4 linked regions of the Saccharomyces cerevisiae S288C genome follow. Changing the gene in region 1 together with any one later gene gives a genetic interaction. Each region holds a gene or a part of one and is shown in the gene's direction. Other genes may lie near its edges.

Region 1 (7,574 bases):
AGCACGGTCCTGTAAATCTTGAAACCATGTCTTTGCACATTGCAGACTGGATACGTCTCCCAATTCGAATACAATCAAAGCAATATTCGCATCTCGATAATACATTGGCACCAGTGATTTATACCGTTCCTGACCCGCCGTGTCCCATATCTCCATATGGATACGTTTCTCCGTAGAGGAGTCGTTAGAAGGAACCTCGATTGTCTTGGTGATGAACGCCGCACCTATCGTAGCCGCATGTTTTGCTAGAAACTTACCTGATTTGAGCCTAGTCACTATACTGGTTTTCCCCACTGATGAATCTCCTAGCAGTACCACTTTGATGGTTGCTTCCATATCGTATTCCTCCGTATTTTGTGCTACTTGTATTTCCTGGAGTAATTTTACTATCATTGTTCCTTAACGTGAAACGTAAGGCTAAAAAACAATAAACGACAAAAAAAAAACAAAAAAATGAAAAATGCAGAGGAGTTTCTCTGCATTTACTGGAAGCGATTAAATAAGATTGCCTCAAGAAAAGAAGTTATCGGTATAATCTTTTGTAGGTAATGAAGTTTACGTTAGAAGACCAAGTTGTGTTGATCACTGGTGGTTCACAAGGTCTTGGAAAGGAATTCGCCAAAAAATATTATAATGAGGCTGAAAACACAAAGATTATTATCGTCAGTAGGTCAGAGGCTAGACTGCTGGACACATGCAACGAAATTAGGATTGAAGCTCACCTGAGAAGGGAAACCACTGACGAGGGCCAAGTGCAACATAAGTTGGCTGCGCCCTTGGACCTTGAGCAACGGTTATTTTACTACCCATGCGACTTGTCCTGCTACGAATCCGTGGAATGTTTGTTCAATGCCCTGAGAGACTTGGATTTACTCCCTACACAAACGTTATGCTGTGCAGGGGGGGCTGTTCCTAAGTTATTTCGTGGGCTAAGCGGACATGAGTTGAACTTGGGTATGGACATCAACTATAAAACAACTTTGAACGTGGCACATCAGATTGCCCTTGCAGAGCAAACCAAGGAACACCACCTCATCATCTTTTCTAGTGCCACCGCGCTTTACCCATTTGTGGGCTATTCCCAGTATGCGCCTGCAAAAGCTGCAATCAAATCACTGGTAGCAATCTTAAGACAAGAACTGACGAACTTCCGTATCAGTTGTGTTTATCCTGGTAATTTTGAAAGCGAAGGTTTCACTGTAGAGCAGCTAACGAAACCCGAAATTACAAAGTTGATCGAAGGCCCCTCAGACGCTATCCCATGCAAACAAGCATGTGATATCATTGCCAAGTCGCTGGCCAGAGGTGATGATGACGTTTTTACAGATTTTGTCGGATGGATGATAATGGGGATGGACCTTGGGCTCACCGCAAAGAAAAGCCGCTTTGTTCCGTTGCAATGGATTTTTGGTGTCCTATCAAACATTCTGGTCGTGCCATTCTACATGGTTGGCTGTTCCTGGTATATCAGGAAATGGTTTCGTGAAAATGACGGCAAGAAGGCCAACTGAGAGCACATCCACTCTCATTCCCGATATTCCCCGTGACTCTCTTTATTTCTTTCAAGACAAACCCTAGTGGTGTAGCTATTTGTACATGTATAAGTATATACGAAATATTAATTATAACATTATTACCACGGCGATATTTTCCTATTTTTATTCTCTTTTCTTACTATATTTTGAAAGTTTTTCTTATGGGTACCGATGCGATGAGGTGAAAAAAATTTTCCTCTTTCCACTTTTAGTACAGGTTATGAGATGCTTCTCATTAGAAGTCAAGAAGAGAGCATATCAGTAACAATACGATGAGTAGCAGTGGTGTTTATACGTGTAATTCATGTGTCCTGACCTTTGATTCAAGCGACGAGCAGCGGGCCCACATGAAGTCCGATTGGCATCGCTACAATTTGAAAAGACGTGTTGCACAATTGCCACCAATATCATTTGAGACATTTGACTCCAAAGTGTCTGCAGCTGCTGCCAGTACTAGTAAGTCTGCTGAAAAGGAGAAACCTGTTACCAAAAAGGAGTTGAAAAGAAGGGAAAAGCAAGCATTGCTCGAAAAGAAAAAGAAACTGTTGGAAATTGCCAGGGCTAATATGCTTGAAAACATGCAAAAGAGCCAAGAGGGAAATACTCCCGACCTAAGCAAGCTCTCTTTGCAAGAAAATGAGGAGAACAAGGAAAAGGAAGAACCTAAGAAGGAGGAGCCTGAACAGTTGACCGAGGAAGAAATGGCGGAAAGAGTAATGCAAGAAAAGCTACGCAACAGAGTCGATATTCCACTGGAACAATGTCTATTTTGTGAGCACAATAAGCACTTCAAAGATGTTGAAGAAAACCTGGAACACATGTTTAGGACCCACGGGTTTTATATCCCAGAACAGAAATATCTAGTCGACAAGATCGGCTTGGTAAAATACATGTCGGAGAAGATTGGTCTTGGGAACATTTGTATTGTTTGTAATTACCAGGGGAGAACGTTGACCGCTGTAAGACAGCACATGTTGGCAAAGAGACACTGTAAAATTCCCTACGAAAGCGAGGATGAAAGGTTGGAGATATCTGAATTCTACGATTTTACAAGCTCATACGCAAACTTTAATAGCAACACAACACCAGACAACGAAGATGACTGGGAAGACGTGGGCAGCGACGAAGCCGGAAGCGACGACGAAGATCTGCCACAAGAGTACTTATATAACGATGGTATAGAGCTGCATCTACCGACAGGCATCAAAGTTGGCCACAGGTCCTTGCAAAGATACTACAAGCAAGACTTAAAGCCCGAGGTGATACTGACCGAAGGCCAAGGTACCCTGGTCGCTGCAGAGACGAGATCGTTCTTACCTGCCTTCGACAAAAAGGGCGTGCAGACTCAACAGCGTGTTTGGCAAACTGAGAGGTTCGACAAGAAAAGGCTCGATAAGAGAAGTGCCAAGTTCGTCAATAACCAACCACACTACAGAGACCAACTTCTGCAGTAATTCTTTTTGCACTACTTTTTTTAGTATTTTGTCGCATATATACTGCTTCACCATTTGTACATTAGATAATTCTTCACTACCCCCTCTATAGCAATGTTATAGTCATTGAATCATGCTTTGAAATGCCTGTTCTAATATTCTCTTCATATAATAAATGCGTGATGCCGGGTATTTGTGCGCCCTTGTTTGGCGCAAAAATCTCGAAAGTGAAAAAACTAATAGGCTTCTTAAAGCAGTTATATCTACAGCAAAGGAAATAGCTGCTGAAGACTGAAGATGTTGGCGCGCAGTTTGGGTTACAGGTTGATATCGACCAGTCGTATCTTATATAATAAACCCACGGTTAAGTCAGTGGTGTCGTCGTGTCCTGCGGGAACATCGCTTAACTTAAACATATGGAAGAGCGGTAAAGACGCAGTGGCACTCGAGGACAAGGAGTATCCAAATTGGTTATGGAGCGTATTGGATAGTGATCACGTTGTCGAACATGCGGCTGAGGACCCAGAGGGACAGGCTCTCTTAAAGAGAAGAAAGAACATAAGGAAGGCGAACAGGCAGCGAATCAAGCAAAACAATTTCTTGAGCCAACTTTAAGCCTCCGTTAATAAGATCAAGTTTGGTATCCTTGTAAATAAATATGTGTGTACGTGGTTAAATAGTATGTTTTTAGCATAATGCCTTATTTTGTACCAACAAAAACATGATAGTTCCCACATATCTTTTCGCCTGGGGAATACCAAGTGGGACAAACAAAACGTTAAAAATTAAATCCTTTAGAGTACCACAAATTCGCAAGAAACAAGATAGTTGAATTGTCAATCATGGCTAAGATAAGTATGAATGTGCCCAGTGTAAAGATCAAAAACATGCCAAAGGTAAGGTTAAAAAGCACTAGAAAGACTGTCTCCACGAAAAACATGCGAAATAGGTTCAATTCATACTCGAAAAGAATTCGAAGGACGCTCACAAGAAAGAGATTTTAGGCAAACATGAAACGTATGCATTTCATAACACACACATATATATATTATATATTCAAAATAAAGCATAACAACATACATATTGAAAAGTAAATTGAACGTTACGCAGTTTCATCAAATAAGAATAGTATTATTAAAAATTGGCCGGACCAAATATCTAGAAATCCGTTACTCTTCCGTTAAACGAATAATCGCCGTGTCTCAACGGGTCCTGCTTGGGACCCCCAACTTCACCAGTCTTGGGGTTAACATCACCTTCGAATTCAGGTATGGTCTTGGAAAATTCAGGCGAGAATGACCCAATATCGTTTTTGGTTAAAAGCGGTGAATTCAAACTCTCCTTTGTACGATCGCCGGTGGCCTGCGCATTATACTGATCTATTGCCTCTTGCGATGTGGCAATCCTCTGAAGTCTTTCGAACTCTTCCTGCTCTTCTCTTGGCAGCTTGGGAGGGCCGGGGATCCTTTCAGTAGTTATTTTTCGGGTGGCCATATTAAATGGTCGTCCACGTAGTAGATTTAAGGCTCCCGTGCGAGGATACCGATAACCTGTGCTTTTGATGGCGCACAACATTAGTTCTTCTTTTTATTATTTGGTTCTTTCTGACTCTTTAGCAAGTTAATATGATCTGCACTTTCCCCATTGGCCCCTTTATAGGGCGGAAAAGAGCATCTGTTTTTCCGGATTCTTGGAACAAGAAAAAGGAAATACACCTATCTATATGCCACTATTGTATATTACTAAATAAAATATTTAATTATATACTCATGCGTATGCCCTCAAGAAGTTCACCAATAATTCTTTGGTTTCTGCTGTTACCTTTTATGGTATTCAGGATCCCAAAACACTGCAGCAGCGTCAGTTTATCTTCCTCTGTGACGCCGTTCTGTTCTTCCTCGCTGAAAATATATCTTTGAAAACTCTTACTGGCACCGTCATTTGTATGTAGGAAGCTTTCGTAATACGGAAGAATGATGGAGTCTCTAAAACACTTTAATAAAAGGACATCAATTGACGGTGCGTACCTTGAAGGTTCAGATAGATATCCGTCAAGCCAGTAGTTACTATTTTTTTGGAAGCTTTTCTCGAAGGGCAGTAACACTGCCATCATGTCGTAGTAAACCTGTTGGTAAAACACCTTCCAGATTATGCCGACTCTTTTCAAAGCCGTATTTACGGTATCCTCATTGGCATAATTGAACACAATCTGGTTCTCTAAAATGTAAAGTGAAGTGGTAATGAATTCCTCGATTTCGGCCAAAAACCTTGAGTGCGTTACGGCAGCCTTGGTTTGTGTTTTCAAAGTGATATAAAATTCCAGCAGCCGGTCAATATCTTCTATTTTTGCTGGCAATTGCCATACCCTCTTGTTTTTAAATAGCTCCACAACTATGCTGCAGTATATACCCCAGATATTCCCCTCCAGAACAAATAACTCCTGTACGGTGAAGCTTTTATAGTTTGCTATCAAGGATGGCAAGTTTTTCAGTAAATCATGTAGTAAAGAAACATTAGTCGCGTCGAAAGCATCATCTTGGATCAGCGATAGAGCTGTATCATTAGGGTTGTTGTTAATGCTAGGGTTAAAGGAATATACAGATTTTCCAGAGTCAATAAGGCCTCCAGTAGAAGTATGGATAAACTGTACGGGTGACCTATGTTTACCATATGAAGAATGCAGAAATTTACTGAATGGGCTGGGAACTACGGGTTCAACGTCGTCTTTACCAATGGAATTATGCGGCTTGTAGGGTAAAAGCTTTTTTGCCATTTTGCTAAAGACATTACTGCCTTTGTTTGAATGAGAATGTCCTGTAGACAGTGAAGATTGTAAACTGTTCACACTCATATTAGATTTCGTATGAAACAATTTAGAGCCACTCCTACTTATGTTGTTACTACTTGTGCCGGTAATAACAGTGCCGTAGTTTTTTGACCCGCTCCTGCTTCGATTTCTCATATTATCTTTTGAATTGGTGAAGATGGACAGTCGCCTTTTATTGCCCCTTGAGTTGGAAGAAAATAAACTATCATTAGACGTGGTGTTCCCCTCCATTCGGTTACTACTTGATGAACCTATTTCGGAGTGACCATCGTTATTCTCCGTGCCTTGGCTGTACTCCTCTTCAATCGAATCCGTCGAGCGCCTTGCATTGGAACCATCATGGAATATAGATTGAAACCCCACCTGTGACCATCTAGGAGCGGCATCATGAGGAGATTTGGATGTTTTTAGATGCACATCTTCGTCGGGATGTGTCAGCGCTTGCGGTACTATATCAGAAGAAACACTATAAACTCTAGCTGGTTTGCGATTAGTTGCTTTTATGTTCGGGTTCGTGACGCTCAGTGAGCCTGAGGTAGCACTTCTTTTACGATTTAGGTCTGTTGCCATTGCTTGACTCTGTAGTTTAAGACTCGCCTAGCCACTTATGCTTATTGTGGTTTGTATTTTTTATTTACTGTCTTCTATCTTTCTCCCTTTAATTTTGACCTTATTTTAAAGCCCGCAAAGATCGCTGAAAAATTGCTAGTAAAGGTCGCATGCAAAATGGATAAAGTGCTCTTGTCAAATTATTTCAACACCTTCATTCGCAGTATAGTGGTATATTGGATTGGGTAAAGGAAAACAGGCGACACCAATATTGGTTTAAGCTAGTAGCGTATGCAGCTCTATCCAGGCATTAAAATTGGTTCACCTATTTCTGATAGTAGTTTTTTTTTTTCCAATCGTAAATTTTTTCTTCAATTTCGCGATGAGCTACAAAATAATAGTAGTGCAATCTGTATATTACTTTTCAAGTATCTAACTCATGCAAGTTAGGAGTTCCATAGCGGATATTTCACTATGTTTGATCCTCTCGATTTGTACACCCCTGATGACATCCAGGTTGAGGCTTTACAGTTCAATCTAGCAGAGAGAGAGCCAAAAGATCCTTGCTCACCGCAACGTGACGAAATATTAACGGCTGTAGATGAAGAAGAGAGTGACGACGATGACACCATTATCGATAATCTGGATCTGCCCTCCGTGAAGTATGCTCCGCCAGAAGTTATCCTTTGTATACTAATACTTCTGAAGCCCGATAGACAAGTAAACTTCAATCAGGAGACAGGGAAGAACAAATCTGTACTGGAGGTTTGCAAGAGTCATGGGCTGGAACCCGATCTGCTGAAAAGACTTTTGACTTGGTATACAGAAGAATGGCCTAACAAGAGGTTAAACTCGTTGGAAAAGATATGCAATAAAATCCCAATGCTGAGATTTACAGTATCCAAAGAACTACTGTTGGGCTACTATACTAGTGTATTGAAAAAATACAATAATAGTTGCGGATTGAATGAGGAAATCATACAAGAACTTCTTAAGGAATTGAGCTCAAGGATATCCGAAAACTGTGGGAGAACGGCCCAACCATCCATAGTAAGATATTTTGAATTAAGAAATCTAAGCACTTCCATACCGCTTCATGAACCCTCTTTAACGGCCGATAATCTTGGTTGGAAAACATGGGGATCATCTTTAATACTTTCACAATTAGTCGTAGATCACCTGGATTACCTACATACCACTAATGTGAACATGTTAGCGAACAGCGACATC
Region 2 (7,403 bases), on another chromosome or scaffold:
GCGTTTGAAAATTTATGCTAAACAAATAACTCGAGGAGGGACGCGTCGAGAAAATCGCGTCTTTCTACTCTCACAGTGCTTGCATACGTATGGTATACAGTATCAAAAGTAGCAGAATTTGTCTTCATTATGATATATATATATATATGTACATATATATAGGGTGCTAAAAAGTATTCTTTTTGCTATTATTATTGCTTAAATCGCCGACCTTTTTCCCATTGTCACGAGAACATAATTGTTAAACCAATAAAAGGAAAATCCATAACAAAAAAGGACTGGTCAAAGAAAAGACAACTCAATTGCACAATTACTTTACAAGAAACACGACAATGGTTACAGAAAATCCTCAACGTCTTACTGTTTTAAGACTTGCCACCAATAAGGGTCCATTAGCACAAATATGGCTTGCTTCAAATATGTCGAATATACCAAGAGGATCGGTTATCCAAACACATATTGCTGAATCAGCAAAGGAAATTGCAAAAGCTTCTGGCTGTGATGACGAATCAGGGGACAATGAATACATAACTTTACGAACATCTGGCGAATTACTTCAAGGCATTGTTCGTGTATATTCCAAACAGGCCACTTTTCTCCTTACAGATATAAAGGACACATTAACGAAGATAAGTATGTTATTTAAAACAAGCCAGAAGATGACTTCTACAGTAAACAGACTGAACACTGTAACAAGGGTTCATCAATTGATGTTAGAAGATGCCGTTACAGAAAGAGAAGTTTTGGTCACCCCAGGGTTAGAGTTCTTAGATGATACTACTATACCAGTGGGCTTAATGGCGCAGGAGAATTCGATGGAAAGAAAAGTCCAAGGTGCTGCTCCCTGGGATACTTCACTTGAGGTCGGTAGACGATTCAGTCCAGATGAAGATTTCGAACATAATAATTTGTCTAGTATGAACCTTGATTTTGACATCGAGGAAGGTCCGATAACTTCAAAATCTTGGGAAGAAGGAACAAGACAAAGCTCACGCAACTTTGATACGCACGAAAATTACATACAAGATGACGATTTCCCTCTTGATGATGCTGGAACTATTGGTTGGGATCTAGGGATTACCGAAAAAAATGACCAGAACAACGATGATGACGATAACTCTGTTGAGCAAGGAAGAAGGCTAGGTGAATCAATCATGTCTGAGGAGCCTACGGATTTTGGATTTGATCTGGATATAGAAAAAGAAGCACCCGCAGGCAATATAGATACGATAACCGATGCCATGACAGAATCACAGCCAAAACAAACTGGCACAAGAAGGAACTCAAAATTACTGAATACCAAAAGTATTCAAATCGATGAAGAAACAGAAAATTCAGAAAGCATAGCTTCATCCAATACATACAAAGAGGAGAGATCGAATAATTTATTGACTCCACAGCCCACCAATTTTACGACTAAAAGATTATGGAGTGAAATAACTGAAAGTATGTCCTATTTACCAGATCCAATCCTTAAGAACTTCTTATCCTACGAATCTCTAAAAAAAAGAAAAATACATAATGGGCGAGAAGGGTCAATTGAAGAACCTGAGTTAAACGTGTCGCTTAATCTTACCGACGATGTAATTAGTAATGCGGGAACAAACGATAACTCCTTCAATGAACTGACCGATAACATGTCAGACTTCGTACCAATTGATGCTGGCTTAAATGAGGCTCCTTTTCCTGAAGAGAATATCATCGACGCAAAGACTAGAAATGAGCAAACTACCATCCAAACTGAAAAAGTTCGTCCTACTCCCGGTGAGGTGGCTTCTAAAGCTATTGTTCAAATGGCGAAGATTTTAAGGAAGGAATTAAGCGAAGAAAAAGAAGTAATATTCACGGATGTACTAAAAAGTCAAGCAAATACAGAACCAGAAAATATTACTAAAAGAGAAGCCAGTAGAGGATTTTTCGATATTTTATCACTTGCTACAGAAGGATGTATTGGTTTGAGTCAAACAGAAGCATTCGGAAATATTAAAATAGACGCCAAACCTGCACTATTTGAAAGGTTTATCAATGCTTAAAACCTAGTTACGCCGAGGGGATTTCTTGGTGGACCCAATAAGCTGATGCATATATAGATCAAAGACTTTAATTTATAAAATTGTCAATATTTAATATTAATATTCACAAAATACGATAAAATTCAAACTAATGCGGTAGAGCCACTACTGGCCGCAAGGCAGAATGATCTTGGCAACTCTACACGCTGGTGCATGGGTAGTATTTATTCTAAAACTTGCTGTATTATTTTGAATAGTGATATTAGGAATCGTCTGCCCACGTACACCGGTGAAGCCGAAATTTTCTCATGGAAACCTTGGGAATAGAAGAAAGGTCCATTGTAAGTGCTACATACTGACCATCTTACATAATCTTACACAACCCTGGTAATAAAGCCACGTCTAGAAAGTTTTCCAGGCCAAACAATCTTCTTTTCCATTAGCTTTGGTACATTAGCAGCCAGAGGAAACATTATGCAGTTTTTAAAGGCTCAACTTTTTATCTAATATACAAAACAATAAAGTTGAACAATTTCTGGATAAAGCGCCTAGAACGTCTTACGATATCTTCAAAGAAAATAGAAAAAAATGGAATTTTTAATTTTTAGTTAGAGGAAACTAAACTTCCATCTTCACCTCCTTTAGAATCAGCTACTTTTGTAGATGATCCTTCCTCGTTATTTTTTATCTTCTGTTCATTCTCTTCTTTATCATCATCCGCATCTATATTAGATATCTTTTTATTATATATTTCCATTTCCATCTGGTATCTTTCTCTGTCCTCACTATAAAGCTTATAGTACGGTTTCCTATCTTGTTCGTTAAGATTTTTCCAACCTTCTGCCAGATCTCTTGTCACGTCCAGAGAGCCATTCTGCCTAATCCTTTCCTTATTCATTTCACAGTACAATAAGTATGCATTTGTGGGCCTCTTGGGCATATTCGGATCTCTTTCCTTTACTTTGTGTCTTTTAGTTTTAGATTTTCGAAATGGCTTCGTCAATAGTTCCTGTTTGAAGGAGGCCAGAGTCGGCAATGGATCCTCACAGTTTAACTCAGGATCAAGTTCTATCCTGGATTCCAACCTCTCCAGTAAAACACCGTATTCTAATTTGAGTCTTTTCACCGAAAGTCGTGACCTTTGGATTGCAAGTCCAAGCACCACATTCTGATCTTTCAATTCTTCAAGTCTGCGCTTTTTTTCTTCAACTGACATTTCTTATGTGTTACTATTACCTATATCCTGGCTGCTTCTCATCCAATTCTAGCCCCTAGAACGATTTAATATATATGTGCGTGGTAATCATTTCCTTATATTTTAATTGAAATCCTTCCTTTCTCAGAAGAAAATCTTTTTTCTAAGGAAAATGGAGAACCGTCGGCTCCTTTTGCTTTACTGGTGTATTCTTGTTTTTTCTGTTTGATAATGCGATTTAGGGCGAAAAACTGCTGACAATACCTTGTCCGCTTTCGTGCACAAGATTTCTTAGCACGAAAATATATCAAGTAACCGTAAAATTATTCCTTTGCCGACTATCACCGTAACTGCGGCTAAACAAATCTGTCCAACTACTACTCAGCTTAAATTAGCATTTTAAATACATTTAATATTCAATTAGTCATGGTAGATAGTAATGATGATCAACCGGAACGCCATGCATTACTTCATAATGACATCCAAACATCAAATAACAGTAGGCCATCACTGGTCCAAAAAAAGTACTTACCTACCCCACAAGATACAAGAAAGTCTAGAGCATCGTATACAGGAAGTGCCATGATCAACCCGACAAGTAAACAAAGTCGTACAGGATCGGGCGCTCAAAGAACATCACGCACAGCACAGAAACTAAAACTTTTGCCAGAAGAACCATTCCAAAGAGATAGCGAAAGACTTACTGATTTAAAGAATCAGGAAGTATATTCTCAGGTAAACAGGATAAAAGATAAGCCTGCTAGAAGGGATGCTGAAAAGTTGGGAAAAGCTCACAGACATTTACTCCCCAGGTCAACTGCATATTGTACTGCTAGCAGTTACAATATGAAAGAGCTGGTAAGGTGGTTAAAGGACTGTCGAAAGCTACATCATACTCATCCTAAATTGTTTGATGAATGCTTGTACACTCCCTTCATTTACAACGATTGGAGGGGCGACAAAAGATTTGAGGATGAAGATGTGATTAGGTTGGATGATGAGGGCGGTGAAATTATTGTTAGTGACAAGCACCCAGATCTGTTTATCTTTGAATATGGTGTTGTCGTTATGTGGGGGTTTACTGAAAGAGAAGAAAAAGCTTTCTTAAACGATATAGAAAAGTTCGAAAAAGAAAAATTGGCGGAAGAAGATATTCAAGTTGAAGAGTTCAATTATTATGTCACAAAAAGTTATCAACCAAGAATATATAACGATTTTATTACCTTGAGAGATGGTTCAAATTACATGGTAAAACTCTCTATCTCTCATGCAATTGCTCAAAGCGTAAAAATTTCACTTTTCGAAGAGCTTGTGGATAATACTATTGAAGATACTCAGGATATACCACAAGAAATTGCATACAGCGGTAAAGTTTCTATGAGCAAAGAAGATATAATGAAAAGTATAGGGGAGCTATTCATTTTGAGGATAAATATCAATCTACATGGATCAGTTTTAGACTCTCCAGAAATTATGTGGTCAGAACCACAGTTAGAACCCATATACCAAGCAACAAGAGGTTACTTAGAGATCAATCAGCGCGTTTCACTTTTAAATCAAAGACTCGAGGTCATTTCAGATCTTCTTCAAATGTTGAAGGAACAGCTGGGCCATTCTCATGAAGAATATCTTGAATTTATTGTCATATTACTAGTTGGTGTGGAAGTCCTAATATCGGTGATCAATATAGTGGTTGACATGCTGGCTAGTCAACATTGAGCCTTTTGATCATGCAAATATATTACGGTATTTTACAATCAAATATCAAACTTAACTATTGACTTTATAACTTATTTAGGTGGTAACATTCTTATAAAAAAGAAAAAAATTACTGCAAAACAGTACTAGCTTTTAACTTGTATCCTAGGTTATCTATGCTGTCTCACCATAGAGAATATTACCTATTTCAGAATGTATGTCCATGATTCGCCGGGTAAATACATATAATACACAAATCTGGCTTAATAAAGTCTATAATATATCTCATAAAGAAGTGCTAAATTGGCTAGTGCTATATATTTTTAAGAAAATTTCTTTTGACTAAGTCCATATCGACTTTGTAAAAGTTCACATTAGCATACATATATTACACGAGCCAGAAATAGTAACTTTTGCCTAAATCACAAATTGCAAAATTTAATTGCTTGCAAAAGGTCACATGCTTATAATCAACTTTTTTAAAAATTTAAAATACTTTTTTATTTTTTATTTTTAAACATAAATGAAATAATTTATTTATTGTTTATGATTACCGAAACATAAAACCTGCTCAAGAAAAAGAAACTGTTTTGTCCTTGGAAAAAAAGCACTACCTAGGAGCGGCCAAAATGCCGAGGCTTTCATAGCTTAAACTCTTTACAGAAAATAGGCATTATAGATCAGTTCGAGTTTTCTTATTCTTCCTTCCGGTTTTATCGTCACAGTTTTACAGTAAATAAGTATCACCTCTTAGAGTTAACCTATACTAAAATTTATGCCAGTTAACTATGAGATAAGCAAGTATCATCTCATTTCATTACCTGAAGTCGAGTAAACAGAAAATCCAATTGTTGATGAACCTCAATGACTTAGAACTATCTATCGGCAGATCATATAAAGAGGATTTAGGTACCTAGAGGACTGTACCTGGAGTATATATATATATATATATATATTATCTCAACTATAGTCCATAGAGGTTTCTTTCTTGAGGCCTTAAACTGCTAAAGAATGATATTGGTGGAATGCAAGCACCAAGCGCTCTTCTTGCGTGACTGTTCATATACTTCAAACCAAGAATGTAACTGGCATTGACCCATCCAAAACCTTCAGTAGCTGCCCCTTTAAAGTCAGCACCTTGATTACCGTATTCTGCTTCAACACGATGAGGATCTGTTCCTCTTGTGACATCATATTTTTCAACCACAATACCATTATAATCGACAAAAGCCTTTGTCATCATGAAAAGCCATCTATAAGCTAGCCTATTCGTTACAGTTAAATAACCATAAGAACGGAGGCCTTCCCAAGCAAGAATTTGATGGGGTGCCCAACCAAATGGATAGTCCCATTGTCTAATTGGTCTCGAAATAGAAATTGGGCCTCGAGAACGCTCCGTACATGCAGCTAAACCTCCAAGCATCTCTAACTTGGGTAGTGCTTTCTCCACCATTTTCTGTGCTTGCTCCTTCGTGGCAAGTCCAGCCCATAATGCCCAGAATGTAGTTGCGGATTCGTATGACGTTCTGTGCTTGATTTTTGTGTTGTAGTCAAAGAAAAACCCCGACTCGTCATCCCACATATATTTGGTAATCTTTTCTTGTCTGATTTTGGCCATTTCTTTCCACATAGCTGAAGTTGTTATAGAATGGTCTAAAGGATCTTCATATTTGTCGTCGCAGAATTCCTTTATGAAGTCTGCAATATCAATCTCGTATTTGTAAAGAAGAGAATTCAGGTCAATAGTGGCCAGGTAGGCACATACGCCCTCAAACCTATATGTAGTGTCGTGTCCAGATTCTCTAACGCCACGGTCATGAAGAAAAAACTCATCCAATTTAGGCTCCTTTATCTTACCATCGTTATAAAGTTGCTTAAATTCGTCTAAGGTAACGCCGTGTTTCGATGCATATGGTAGTAAAACGGTATCGAAGTGATCACTTTCAGTTTCCGGAGGAATACCGAGACCGTTAGGATGGTACCTGGATAAGCCTGTTTCGGGATCAAGCCTTGGAGATGCGGTCCAAACAGTTTTGTACTCTTTTATGCTTGCTTGGAAAGCTCTTTTCAACAAATCCACAGCATCGGGATTACTCCTACCACCAAGTTTTTTGAATACTACCAAGGCCATTTCAGTCAAGAATGGGGGCTGTGATCTACATAGATAGTAGCTTCTGTTAGCATTCAATATTTTTCCATAGTGATTAATCTCAAAAATAAAATGCTCCACCATACCTCTTGCAACATCAGTCTTGTTGGCTTCTAGGAGACCTAGTGCCATCATATAGGAGTCCCAACCATATAATTCATTGAATCTACCACCAGGAACAGCATAAGGGTAACCAATGAGAGTTTTTTCACCAGTAGAAGGATTGAAGTGCTCTTCCATAGCCAATGCTAGTAAACCGGGGGTATCATTGACGGATTTGACGTATTCTGCCGTTATTTTTTTTGGTAAATATTCAACTTCTAATTTCAAAGATGGATGCATTTGAGAA
Region 3 (9,037 bases), on another chromosome or scaffold:
ACCGTTCTTATTAGTCCCAGACGCATGAAATCACAGGGGAGAGCAGCTTAAAATTTTTTCTACAGACATACAAGAAGAAATTGCAGTTTTTTTTTTTTTGTTTCTCTAACCTATAAATAAAATGTTTCAATACACATACTAAACAAAGAAAAAAAAATGTAGAGAATTTTATACGCAAAATATATAGACACTTTCCCCTATTTTTATCAATAAAAAAATGAACACATCAATGCCACTACCATCCATGCTCGAACAACATAGAAATGGATTCACCGTTATGGATTCTTCTAATTGCTTCACCGATTATGCAGGAGACATCAATAACATCCACTCTGTCCTTACCTAGGTACTGTAGTGTTCTATCTTGAGGAACCGTGTTAGAAATGATCAACTTATCTATACTACTTTGGCCGATTCTTTCTAGCGCATCACCGGAAAAAACACCGTGCGTTATTAAGGCATAAACTTTGGTAGATCCTTGATCCTTCAACAATTTCGCAGCTCTTGTAATAGTGTATGAAGTATCCACCAAGTCGTCGACTATAATACACACCTTGTTTCTAACATCGCCAACAAGCATGGTAGTTTGAACGAACTTGGACGAATTAGAAGATTGCGACGAGGTGGAAGATGTTGAAGTTGTTTTCTTCATTTCAAGGGCCGCAACCCCAGTGGCACCTGAAGAAGTAGTATTTTGGGAGGAAACCAAAGTAGTAACTAATGGCCTTGGAGATACTGGTAACGAACCACCAGAGGTTAACGTCGCATCTGGAGGGCCCTTCAATAACTGAGATCTTCTTTCTTTATGAATTAGGGCGAAGGACAATTCCAAGGCGTCTGCAATAGCCGTAGCTCTCTTTGCACCACCAGCATCTGGAGAAACGATCACAGCATCCTGATAATCTGGAATGCGATGCTGGATGTAGTTTTGTGCAATGGGTTTACAGTAGAGATTATCCACTGGAATGTCAAAAAACCCAGGGAACTGTGGATCGTGCAAATCCATTGTGATCACATGGTCAGCACCTGCAGCACTCAACAAATGAGCAATCAAAGTACCGGCTTGTACTACCCATAGCTTATAGCCTGCATTTTGAGCGTTGAACAATTCACCAGCGTCCGTGCTATTGCTTGTATTTTGTAACTTACCACCGGGAATCATAGGAATTCTTGAAAAAGAAAGCGTCTTCTTGATGTCGAAATTGTTATTCGCCGTAGCACTGCTGTTTGGTGTTCTGATAGGTTGAGGATTTTCTAAGTTGATAGTTGATCGTATTGCACTATCCAAACTCTTCAACGAGCTCTCAGCACCTGGTCTTTGCGTCATTAAAGAAGATGACACGGGTGTGCCTGGATGCGATTCAAAAGTATAGTTTTCTTTAGGCTTGGAAATTATGGGAGCACCCTTGGCAGTATATGGAATATCTGGCTGTCTCGAGTAGCAGAGATATGGCATTACGGCTGTAACCCTCGAGGCAGAAGCGGACTTGCAGGCACTGATTAAAATCAGCAACTGCATGAACGTGTCGTTCACCTGGCCACAACCACTCTGGATGATATATACATCCTTTTCACGAACAGATTCGCGAAGAGCAATGTTCGTTTCCCCATTAGAAAACTTCCCTAATTCTACTTTCGATGGGTGAATGTCCAAATTTTCACAGATCTTAGTAACTAACTCGGGGTGCGAGTCCCCTCCAAAAACAACAATATTACTCATTGACATCCAGACTGCGTTCCTAGCCTCGTAGCAACCTCCAACAAAGTCACTTTCGACCAACTTACTCTCATCTCATCCAGCCCTTCTCGCTAATCGTAGCCATTTATTATTTGATAGAAAATTTTTTTCAACTGCGGTCGAAGGGTAACAGCCATATTTTCCTTAATTGATTAGTATAGGAGAACTTGATGATAAAGTGTGGAAACCTTTCATAAACGGTTGGAGAAAAGAATCACATAGAGTTATGGTGAGCAATGATTAGTGGTGTGCTGGTATACTCATCGAGAGGTGAACTTGTCTTGAACAAGTTCTTCAAGAACTCGTTGAAGCGGTCCATATCCGATATCTTCCGAGTACAAGTGATCAATAATCTAGATGTTAGATCGCCTGTTTTGACACTGGGCTCAACTACTTTCCATCACATCAGGTCGAGGCATGGTGACAATTTGTGGTTGGTAACCATTACGAGAAGCAACGCTAATAGTGCGGCGATCTGGGAGTTCTTATATAAGCTTGATGCAGTGATGAATGCTTATCGATTGGATAGAGAGGAGGCCTTGAAAGAGGAATTCATGATTGTGCATGAGATGCTGGATATAATGTTGGGTGGAAATGGGATACCAATTGACACTGAATTGAACTCTGTTATAGCGCAGATGTCTGTGAAACCCGTTAGAAATATGGGCGGATTGTTAGATAGTCCCGATGGAAATGATGTATTATCTTCCTCTTCATCTCCTACTTCTTCAGCAGGAGAACTACATTTTCCCAAATTTTTGACAAAAAGAAGCAGTAGTTTCCTGGGTCAAGGAGACTCCACTTCTGATTTCTATGATAACAATAAGATCACTTGGAGGCCCAAGGGGATAATACACAAGAAGGATGAAGTTTTCTTGTATGTCAATGAGAGGATAAACATTCTGGTATCTAGGGATGGTTCTATCTTGAAATCATACGTTGATGGCACCATAGATATCACCACACACTTGAGTGGGACCCCTATTTGTAGATTTGGATTGAATGATTCTTTGGGAATGCAGTCCGAAGACGAGAAGAAATGGTTAGCACAGCAGCAGCGTCACTCTGGCAGCGATTTTGGAAACAAGAACTTCATTCCCAAAGCTGCTGCCGGTAGTGTTTTGTTGGAAGATTGCAAGTTTCACGAATGTGTCTCACTTGACAAATTTAACAGAAATCATATCATTGAATTCGTCCCACCAGACGGTTCGATGGAGTTGATGAAATATCATGTACGAGATAACATAAACCTGCCGTTCAAGGTTACACCTATTGTTACACATTCTACAAGAGATAACGAGATTGATTACAGGATAACATTGAAGTCTTTATTTCCTGGAAAACTTTCCGCCAAAGATGTGGTACTACATATACCCGTTCCACCAAGCACTGTGGATTGTAAGATAAGTGTCTCTAATGGCCACTGTAAGTTTGTGCCAGAAGAAAATGCAATGATTTGGAGGTTCAACAAGTACAATGGGTTGACGGAAAACACTTTAAGTGCAGTTACTGTGTCCACAAGTGATACTACTCAATTGAATCTTCAACAATGGACAAGACCTCCAATATCCCTGGAATTCGAGGTCATGATGTTCAGTAATTCTGGCTTAGTCGTACGATACTTTACCATTTCTGGAAAAGACAGTAAGCATCGTGCTGTAAAATGGATTAAATATATATCGAAAGCCGGTTCTTACGAGGTGAGGTACTAGCCCGTAATTTTTGTGTACATATATTTTTATCATGCCTGTATTTTTTATAGTAATTTCCTTTAGAATGCACATTTTGTTAATATTGAATATTTTCTATTATGAGAGACATGCAATTTAGTTTTTCATTGAAAAGAAAACAGGGAAAAAACATGGAAAAACCATACAAGACACCAAAAACACCATAGTAATGAAGATCAACAGCGCAATCAAGAGGCACTGGTACTTCTAGGCTTGAAAATTTGGTTTTGAATATAATGCCCCCTCAGATTCCCAATGAAAATGATGATCTCTTTACAAGGTGGCTTAAGTCTCGGGCCATCATACAAAGGGCAGTATCGACAAGAGAGTGCTTTGACTCAGAAGTATTTCTGGCGTCTGGTGGCTGGAATATAACGAATGAGATAATAACGTTAAAGAAATATTATCAACTCAAGTGGCCAAACTCCAGTTGCAATTCGTTTCATCCAAAAACCGTGGAGTTTATTAAAGAACGATTACACAACCTAGAAGAACATGACTCTTCATGGAAAATCCCAAATCCTGCTTACTCATTCAAGAAAGCCTTCTTGGAGGATACTAAATCTGCATTTTCCAACTTAGAACCCGTCTGGGGACCATCAAGGCTTTTGAATCCAGCTGAATTACTATTGCCACAGGACGAAAAACTACTTGTTCAAGAGATACCACTAGAGTTCGCACCTTTTCAATACACAAATAGGTTTGCTTATGGTGGTTTGCAGTTCAAGAACAATTTGTTCGTCACTTATGGGAGTTATTCCTTCCTGGCTGCCGGTCAATGCGTCGAAGTTCATAATTTCGATATACTATTGAACGTTTCGTCATTAGAAATATGTCACGCCTTATTGCCCGTGATAATACCAGATGACGGAGATGTAAGAAACTTCCGCAATTCATCATATGTGAAATTTAAGGATACACAGTTCAACAGCATACCTGAACTATGTTCTATCAACTTTATGAAGATTTGTAACTTCATGCATCAAGATTTTCTACTAGCTTGCGGTGACAACGGAATCGTTTATATCTGGGAAATCAACAAAGTTATTAAGATATTTAATAAATTTACTTCGGATATCTTGGGAGGCAAAGATAACAGCCGGGAAAGATACATAAATGTTGATCCATATATGGTGTTAAGAGTAGAGGAATCTTGTTGGAGTGTTGATGTAATAGATATAAATGGCATCATATATATCGCTGTTGGCCATAACAAGCCTGGAGTTACAGTCTTTGCATTCGATAAAGATGTAAAGAAGGAAAGACGGTACATTCGGCCTCTAGATCTTCCCTCATCTCACAATGTTCCTTGTGTTAACTTTGTTCCTAATTCAAAAGATTCTGTTGGATATATTACATTAAGTTATTGTTCTATATTTGGGAATGTTGTTACCGTTAAATTAAAGGAGCATGATTGTACCATTTTAACGAGTTTCCTTGATACTCAATTTTTTGGCGACGACTTATGGACAATAACTCCACTGACTAAGAAGGATTTTGCGAAAGTTGACAATTTCGAATTGTTGAATCTTAACTACCAAGACGGTTTCAAAGAAAGCATGTTATATTCTATTTGCCGAGATGATTTTTTACTTGGGTATTACTGTGATAACGCCTACCTCTCTGGGAATTTCGGTATTGGTACATTACTCAATCAATTTCAGGTTCCTGTCACAGACCTACGACTGACTTCTTCAGCAGGGATCCCCGATGAAGTTATACCATTAAGATTTACCTCATTTGATAGAAATTACACTACAACGGGCTCGATAAAATACGAGTACAGCAGAGAGGATTTTGCACTTATTTTACATGCCGGTGACTTAGACGATATGAATGATGCAGTGACAAAAAACACCTCATGTGAACAGCATTTACACCAATGGACATTTTGGGAGGATTCTGGTTATAAACATTATCGTGCTACTGAGCGTGGATTTTCGAAATACAAGGATATTATTAATACTTTTCCACAGTTGATAACTCCTAGTGGAAGAAATAAAACATCGCAATATCAAAACACTTCTGGGAGAAAGATCTGTGAGCCGTCTACTTATAAACTTACTGATCTCGAAAATGATATTGAAGATATATCTCGCGAATTTAATAGAAGTATTCGTAATTTGAAAATGGATAAACAAAGACAACTACGAACTTCAAAAGAGTTCAAATCGCTAAGTTCAGTAAATCATATACCAAATATTGAATCGGGAAACTTTTTATGGTACAACACCGATGCCGCTGCCGATTGGAGAACACTTTTTGGCAAGGATTTGAACACGGTCTTGAAGGACCCAGAAATTTGTAGCCTTCAACTGAACTCTACAGAAGAGGACGATGTCAATAGCGACCCTGAAAATGAAGAATCTGGTAGCAGCTTAACAAGTTTCCAGCGAAGATATAGGGATACTGAACAGCGTGCTCACTTGAAATCAGAATCGCAGAAATCTTGGGGGTTCCACAACTATGTAAGAAACGTCAAGCGGTTATTAGAGTCAGCAGTACCGGGCTCAGAAGATTCGCCTCTTGGGTATCAACTATCCGAAATGCACGACGAGTTCTTCTTCCTAACCACAGCCCATAGGCTGGTGTTGATGAAAGCAAATCCACTCATAATTATATCAGCAACTCATCATGAGATTTTTCCCTTAGATGGTGTTGTGACGTGTGCTTCCAAGTCGCTGCTCCAAGCACTAAACAGAATAAATTTTGTGTGTCACATCAAAGAACTAAATTGCATAGCCGTGGCTTCACAATTGGGTCTCATTTCATTACTAAGACTAACAGAGTACAGAGGCATCTATTCGTTTAGACAAGAGTATATTCTTGGATGGGAAGTCCAAGACCCTGTTAACCCTAGTCCAGAGTGCAGATGTAACAGGAACTTGTTTGACGCACCAATGTATGGTGCAGATGGAGAGAGCTCGGACACATACTGCGGCGTGTGCGACGTCTATTTCCCCATGGGTGATATTTGCGGACTAGATTACACTTATGCATCTGACAGTGAAGAGTTAAAACGTAAGGGATATGCTACCTTATACGTAGCATCAAGAGGCTCCTTGAGGGCATTCAAGATCACAACTGAGCATGGAACAACTCAACAATAGCATATTTTGACATTTACATAGCCATCTATATAATAATCCTTCCTTCATTGAAATGCGCGAATGACTCAGACGAGCAATATCACGTGTTGCGATTTTACTTTCAGTTTGCAAAGAAGAAACCATGCCACATATAAAGAACGTTTGCACTTCTCTTTAATTTATTAGTTAGTAAGTAAGAAGTTTAAAGACAACTCAGAAGACATCAGCACTTTACTATGGCATTGGAAAGAGAATTATTGGTTGCAACTCAAGCTGTACGAAAGGCGTCTTTATTGACTAAGAGAATTCAATCTGAAGTGATTTCTCACAAGGACTCCACTACTATTACCAAGAATGATAATTCTCCAGTAACCACAGGTGATTATGCTGCACAAACGATCATCATAAATGCTATCAAGAGCAATTTTCCTGATGATAAGGTAGTTGGTGAAGAATCCTCATCAGGATTGAGCGACGCATTCGTCTCAGGAATTTTAAACGAAATAAAAGCCAATGACGAAGTTTATAACAAGAATTATAAAAAGGATGATTTTCTGTTTACAAACGATCAGTTTCCGCTAAAATCTTTGGAGGACGTCAGGCAAATCATCGATTTCGGCAATTACGAAGGTGGTAGAAAAGGAAGATTTTGGTGTTTGGATCCTATTGACGGAACCAAGGGGTTTTTAAGAGGTGAACAGTTTGCAGTATGTCTGGCCTTAATTGTGGACGGTGTTGTTCAGCTTGGTTGTATTGGATGCCCCAACTTAGTTTTAAGTTCTTATGGGGCCCAAGATTTGAAAGGCCATGAGTCATTTGGTTATATCTTTCGTGCTGTTAGAGGTTTAGGTGCCTTCTATTCTCCATCTTCAGATGCAGAGTCATGGACCAAAATCCACGTTAGACACTTAAAAGACACTAAAGACATGATTACTTTAGAGGGAGTTGAAAAGGGACACTCCTCTCATGATGAACAAACTGCTATCAAAAACAAACTAAATATATCCAAATCTTTGCACTTGGATTCTCAAGCCAAGTACTGTTTGTTAGCATTGGGCTTAGCAGACGTATATTTACGTCTGCCTATCAAACTTTCTTACCAAGAAAAGATCTGGGACCATGCTGCAGGCAACGTTATTGTCCATGAAGCTGGAGGTATCCATACAGATGCCATGGAAGATGTTCCTCTAGACTTCGGTAACGGTAGAACGCTAGCTACGAAGGGAGTTATAGCGTCAAGTGGCCCACGCGAGTTACATGACTTGGTGGTGTCTACATCATGCGATGTCATTCAGTCAAGAAACGCCTAAATAACATATATTTTACTTTATTGATAGACATAAATATATGAGTACATATATATATGTGTGTATGTGTATGTACATACCAGTTAAATGATAACCTTTTTTTATTGTTGTTATAGCGTGAAAAAAGGAAAATACAGTGAAAAGAACAAAACTGAAGAGGTAAGAGTAGGCTAACAAAGAAGAAAAGTGAGACAAGAAAATACAGCAGGATTCTGACCGAATGAACAAAACGAATTGGAAGGTATCTGTAACTACATTCAATTGTGGTAAGGAATTTCCCGTTGAAAATTCGAAAGCAATCGTTAAGCAATTGCTTTTCCCCTACGATGACGGCATCTCCCAATTGGAATTGCAAGATCTATATGTGTTGGGGTTCCAAGAAGTAGTCCCCATATGGCAAGGCTCCTTCCCTGCTGTTAATCGTGATTTAATCGATAGAATTACAACTACTGCGGTTAATTGTCTGAATGAAAAAGTGTCAGCTACACAAGGGGATGAGCAGTATTCATGTTTAGGGGTGAATAGTCTTGGGGCGATTACCATAATAGTATTATACAATAATAATGCGCTAAAGGTAAAAGATGATATTTTGAAACGGAATGGGAAATGCGGTTGGTTTGGTACACACTTGAAAGGTGGAACTTTGATAAGTTTTCAGATGACACGCAATGGCGAGGAGAACTGGGAAAGATTTAGCTATATTTGTGCTCATTTAAATGCAAATGAAGGTGTCAACAATAGAAATCAAAGAATAGATGATTACAAACGAATAATGAGTGAAGTGTGTGATTCTGAGGTTGCAAAAAGCGACCACTTTTTCTTTCTAGGCGATTTGAATTTTAGGGTTACTAGTACTTATGATCCAACTACCAATTATTCGTCCACCACAACGTTAAGGCGTCTATTAGAAAATCATGAAGAACTAAATCTGCTACGTAAAGGAGAGGATGAACCGTTATGCAAAGGTTTTCAGGAGCTGAAGATAACATTTCCACCGACATACAAATTCAAGTTGTTTGAAAAGGAAACATATAATACAAAAAGAATCCCGTCGTGGTGCGATAGGATTCTCTACAAAAGCTATGCAGTGCCAACTTTCGCACAAGAAGGTACTTACCATTCCGTCCCTAGGTCCAATGCTCTATTATTTAGCGATCATCAACCCGTTAATCT
Region 4 (4,588 bases), on another chromosome or scaffold:
GCGCGCGGTGTGATGGTGATGATAATGATGATGATGATGATAATGATGAATAAACGTTTCGGTTTACGAGTTTCTTTAAATATACATATATGATATAAAAAAAAAAATACGTACCACTTACAATTTGCAAATATAGATGATCGAAACTGCCATTTATGGTAAGACAGTGGATGACCAATCTCGATGTGTCCACTGGCATCTTCCAAAGGATGTAATTGCCATCAGGTTTAAATGTTGTGATAAGTACTATGCGTGCTTTGAATGCCACCAAGAGTTAAGTTCTCACCCGCTAGAAAAATATGATCTCCTTGACGATGCAAATAAACACTTGATTATTTGCGGAGTTTGCCGTCATGAAATGACGTTTGCAGAGTATTACGACTACAATTCAAACCTTATTTGTCCCAATTGCAGATCCCCCTTTAATCCAGGCTGTAAATTGCACTACCATTTGTATTTCCAGAACCCTCCCCCCGCTATGTGTTGAGTGTTGTTCTATAAATGCATGCCATCTTAAGCTCTGCTGTGCTCTTCTCGTTAAGGAAAAAATGCGATGGTATATATATAGATATATATATATATATATGTATCTGTATATATATGTTCATACATATATATATATCTATTATTGTTGTTATTATTATCGTGATTATTATTTAGGTCCTCCCTTCTTTTTACCTGTTTTTAATCTACCCTCAAATCCGGCTCTTTTCTTTGGTACGGCACTACCGACATACTTTCTTTTCATCTTTTCTTGCTTATTTCTCTTTTTACCCTTGTTGTCTTTCCTAATCCTCAGATTCTCTTCTCTTCTCTTTTGTCTTTCAGATATCGTGTCTTCCACAACCCTCTTACGTTCGCTCCATTCAATCGCAGACTTTCTCTTTTGTGCTTCCTTTCTCTTTATAGCTTTGCGAAGTAGTTTTTCGTCATCCCTAATCTTAATTCCTTCTGCTTGTAACATAGCCTTTTGCCATTTTTCCTTTTCCTTCTGCTTGATTTGTTCTAGTTCGTCTTTCGCCTCCATCTTATTCTTCTTGGCTTCTAATAACTTTAAGTGTGATTTTACATCATTCTTAGCCGGACCCTTCGTTCTACCAGCTTTTCTTAACCTTTGTAAATCTGAAGTGGCCCTTGCACCATCATCGAATATGATATTTTGAAACATTACACCATCTGCGTTAATTTCTGAGTCCTTCTTGCCTTTTTTGAATCTTTTTTTCGAATTGTTTTCTAAATCACTATCGATGTCTTCCATATCGGAATCAGACGCAATTTCATCCTGATCCTGTTCCTGTTCACTTTCTAGACGCTTTCTTTTTTTCAACTCTTCCTTGCGTTTCCTTTGAGCAAGAATAGCCTCTCTAGAACCGGGTGCTTTCCTTTTACTCTTCATATCTGAAATTTTCGCTTGTAACTTGGAACGTAGTGCTTCCAAGTTTTTCTTTCTTTGTAGTTTCTCTTCCTCTGTAATAGACTTCTTTTCGACAGATCTATCGGGCTCTGTAGTATCTTTTTTAGATTCTAATGGTATTTCATTTCCCTCATCATCAAAGATCACCTTAATATCCTCTTCCTCTTCTTCATCTTCGTCTGGTGCTATTATCATAGGATCGTTTACTTCTACGTTCAGGTCGGAGTCTCCTTCCACTTTTGATGTTGCTTCCTTTTGCTTTTGCATTTTCATGTGCTTGAATTTTTCACCAGGTAGGACCACCGGCTTTGCGTCTTTCTCCTTCTTCTTCATTACTTCTAATGTACTAGATGTTTCATCATCACGTTGCTCCGGGTCTAATTTTTTCAGTTTATCATTTTTACTCTGTTCTTTGGTTTTCTTCTTGGCCTTCCATTGCTCTTGACTTTTTTCATCATAATAGTATTTTGCAGGAATTAAAGCCAATAAACCATCGAAGGCGCTTGAATTAGCACGAAGGCGCTCCTCAAGTGAATTACTCATCTCAGTCTCCTATATCTTTCAATTCCCGGACTTTCTTTATCACTTGCAACAACGTCTCAGTCCTCACTTGTTATTCATCTCTTGGTCATCTCATCTCTTTTATTGTACTTTCCTCTTTTCTTTACCGGAGATGAGAATAAAAAGAATTCATTTTAAAAAATTTTCAATTTGGTGTCTGGGTGAAACTTTTTAATCGTGTAATCCCAATTAAACCACTCTACTTTACTTTAATTGGTACACGAACTCATTACACACCTTTGCCTCTATTGCTTGTGTCAATCGTGTTGAGAGAGGAAGCCCAAAACAAGGGAAATTAACCTCTGTAGGCAAGCCATCACATTTGGCAATAGCAGCCCTCATTTAATTTAATTCGGCATGTGGCCGGCAGGGTAATGCGCTCTGCTGCTGACAAAATTGAAAGAAAAATTTTTTTCATCAACAGTTTGCAATACTTTCTTTTTCATATTTAATTCATCCATTCCGTCGTTAATTTTGTTCAAAACTGGTGTCCATCCTTAATACCAACTCAATTCTTTGATTTTGGCCCTCGATAGATTCAAGATGTCCCAAGGTACTTTATACATTAATAGATCTCCAAGAAACTACGCTTCTGAAGCTTTGATTTCTTACTTTAAACTAGATGTCAAGATCGTTGATCTAGAACAATCTAGCGAGTTTGCTTCTTTGTTCCCATTGAAGCAAGCCCCTGCATTTTTGGGTCCAAAGGGCTTAAAGCTAACTGAAGCTTTGGCTATCCAATTTTATTGTATGTTCCATATTTTATTTTAACACTTCCACATACATTGTTTTGCGCGTTTCCCGTTCGTTTATTTGGCACGTCATTTTTCTTCGAAACATAATGATGAAAAAAAATTTTATCAAACAGTTATCCCTGTCTGAATGGGTAATAATAGGTAACCTCTCATATGTTGATATTTGTATTTCTGATATGTTTCTTAAAGAAAAATGAAAGTCAAAATAACAAAAAGGAAGTACAAAGCGTGTCCTAATCCAGGAAAAAATATAAAGGATTGTTTTACTAACATTTCTTCAATTAATGGTTGTATAACCATCGAGATGATGTATATTTAGTGGCTAATCAAGTTGCCGATGAAAAAGAAAGAGCTCGCTTATTAGGTTCCGACGTTATCGAAAAGTCTCAAATCCTTAGATGGGCATCTCTAGCTAATTCCGATGTCATGAGCAACATTGCTCGTCCATTCCTTTCTTTCAAAGGTTTGATTCCATACAACAAGAAAGACGTTGATGCTTGTTTTGTTAAAATCGACAACCTAGCTGCTGTCTTCGATGCTAGATTGAGAGACTACACCTTTGTTGCTACCGAAAACATTTCTCTAGGTGACCTTCATGCCGCTGGTTCTTGGGCTTTTGGTTTGGCCACTATTTTGGGCCCTGAATGGAGAGCTAAGCATCCTCATTTGATGAGATGGTTCAACACTGTTGCTGCTTCTCCAATCGTGAAGACTCCATTTGCTGAAGTCAAATTGGCTGAAAAGGCTCTAACCTACACTCCACCAAAGAAGCAAAAGGCTGAAAAGCCAAAGGCCGAAAAGTCAAAGGCTGAAAAGAAGAAGGACGAAGCTAAGCCAGCAGATGATGCTGCTCCAGCTAAAAAGCCAAAGCACCCATTGGAAGCTTTAGGAAAGTCCACATTTGTCTTGGATGACTGGAAGAGAAAGTACTCCAACGACGACACCAGACCAGTTGCTTTGCCATGGTTCTGGGAACACTACAACCCTGAAGAATACTCCATCTGGAAGGTTGGTTACAAATACAACGACGAACTTACCTTGACTTTCATGTCCAACAACTTGGTCGGTGGTTTTTTCAACAGATTGTCCGCTTCTACTAAGTACATGTTCGGTTGTTTAGTTGTCTATGGTGAAAACAACAATAATGGTATTGTTGGTGCCGTTATGGTCAGAGGCCAAGATTTCGCTCCAGCCTTTGATGTCGCTCCAGACTGGGAATCTTACGAATACACCAAGTTGGACCCAACCAAGGAAGAAGACAAAGAATTTGTCAACAACATGTGGGCTTGGGATAAGCCTGTTGTTGTCAATGGCGAAGATAAGGAAATTGTTGACGGTAAGGTTTTGAAATAATCTCAATAACTCTTCTTCCATATTTTCTTCCCAATATACATAAGAGTCAAACAAAACGAATTTTCAAAAGAAAAAAGAAAAAAACCCTGAAGTCTACTTCATGATTACCCCATACTTACGCGTGGTTTAATTCTATGTAACGATTAACGTCCATGTAATCATTATATATATATATATTGTAATAATCTCTCTAATTGAGTATCACAATCTGCTGCGGTTACTCTAACAATATTTTGCATAAACTTGATTCTTCTCTTCTTATTTCATGTTTCAGTGGGGCATTTTCCATTGTACTTTTGCAACAATAGCGAAAAAAACAATTTTCCGTAAAGAGAAGCGTCAGTCATAAACGGTGTATGTTACCCGAACTGGAATGAATTTTATCTTAAGACTGGAAAACAATTTAGGATAGAACTGAAGATAGTGCAACACGTCTGGTGATATCATGTGCTTTCAAGCAGGATTTGTCACAGTGCTTTAGAAACACAAACAAAGGAGGTATATA

The links.
Region 2: mutations in REI1 (region 1) and RMD1 together harm fitness more than expected from each alone (negative genetic interaction), as found in Saccharomyces cerevisiae (2 studies listed by BioGRID).
Region 3: mutations in REI1 (region 1) and CRT10 together harm fitness more than expected from each alone (negative genetic interaction), as found in Saccharomyces cerevisiae (2 studies listed by BioGRID).
Region 4: mutations in REI1 (region 1) and TEF4 together harm fitness more than expected from each alone (negative genetic interaction), as found in Saccharomyces cerevisiae (2 studies listed by BioGRID).

The regions. Positions count from the first base shown.
Region 1 is NC_001134.8:738,034-745,607, forward strand, and holds REI1 (Rei1p), read left to right. Parts: upstream 1-1,807; coding exon 1,808-2,989; downstream 2,990-7,574. Other genes in the region: Rab family GTPase YPT10, read right to left, coding at 1-336; TSC10 (3-dehydrosphinganine reductase), read left to right, coding at 549-1,511; SLM6 (Slm6p), read right to left, coding at 1,903-2,355; mitochondrial 54S ribosomal protein mL54 MRPL37, read left to right, coding at 3,266-3,583; SDH8 (Sdh8p), read right to left, coding at 4,127-4,543; BIT2 (Bit2p), read right to left, coding at 4,728-6,365; EFM2 (S-adenosylmethionine-dependent methyltransferase), read left to right, coding at 6,819-7,574. UniProt on the Saccharomyces cerevisiae protein: Pre-60S-associated factor involved in the cytoplasmic maturation of the 60S subunit. Involved in the dissociation and recycling of other late pre-60S factors like ARX1, TIF6 and ALB1 before newly synthesized large ribosomal subunits enter translation.
Region 2 is NC_001136.10:444,351-451,753, forward strand, and holds RMD1 (Rmd1p), read left to right. Parts: upstream 1-3,633; coding exon 3,634-4,926; downstream 4,927-7,403. Other genes in the region: MCD1 (kleisin alpha), read left to right, coding at 333-2,033; NHP10 (Nhp10p), read right to left, coding at 2,617-3,228; alpha,alpha-trehalase NTH1, read right to left, coding at 5,870-7,403. UniProt on the Saccharomyces cerevisiae protein: Required for sporulation where it is believed to have a role in meiotic nuclear division.
Region 3 is NC_001147.6:204,933-213,969, reverse strand, and holds CRT10 (Crt10p), read left to right. Parts: upstream 1-3,704; coding exon 3,705-6,578; downstream 6,579-9,037. Other genes in the region: ribose phosphate diphosphokinase subunit PRS5, read right to left, coding at 236-1,726; APM4 (Apm4p), read left to right, coding at 1,975-3,450; MET22 (3'(2'),5'-bisphosphate nucleotidase), read left to right, coding at 6,794-7,867; phosphoinositide 5-phosphatase INP54, read left to right, coding at 8,085-9,037. UniProt on the Saccharomyces cerevisiae protein: Substrate targeting component of a cullin-RING-based E3 ubiquitin-protein ligase complex RTT101(MMS1-CRT10). RTT101(MMS1-CRT10) may regulate nucleotide synthesis through transcriptional regulation of RNR genes encoding ribonucleotide reductases.
Region 4 is NC_001143.9:280,373-284,960, forward strand, and holds TEF4 (translation elongation factor EF1B gamma), read left to right. Parts: upstream 1-2,518; coding exon 2,519-2,723; intron 2,724-2,812; exon of another isoform or gene 2,813-2,907; intron 2,908-3,049; coding exon 3,050-4,083; downstream 4,084-4,588. Other genes in the region: HOT13 (Hot13p), read left to right, coding at 137-487; ribosome biosynthesis protein RRP14, read right to left, coding at 653-1,957. UniProt on the Saccharomyces cerevisiae protein: Subunit of the eukaryotic elongation factor 1 complex (eEF1). Probably plays a role in anchoring the complex to other cellular components.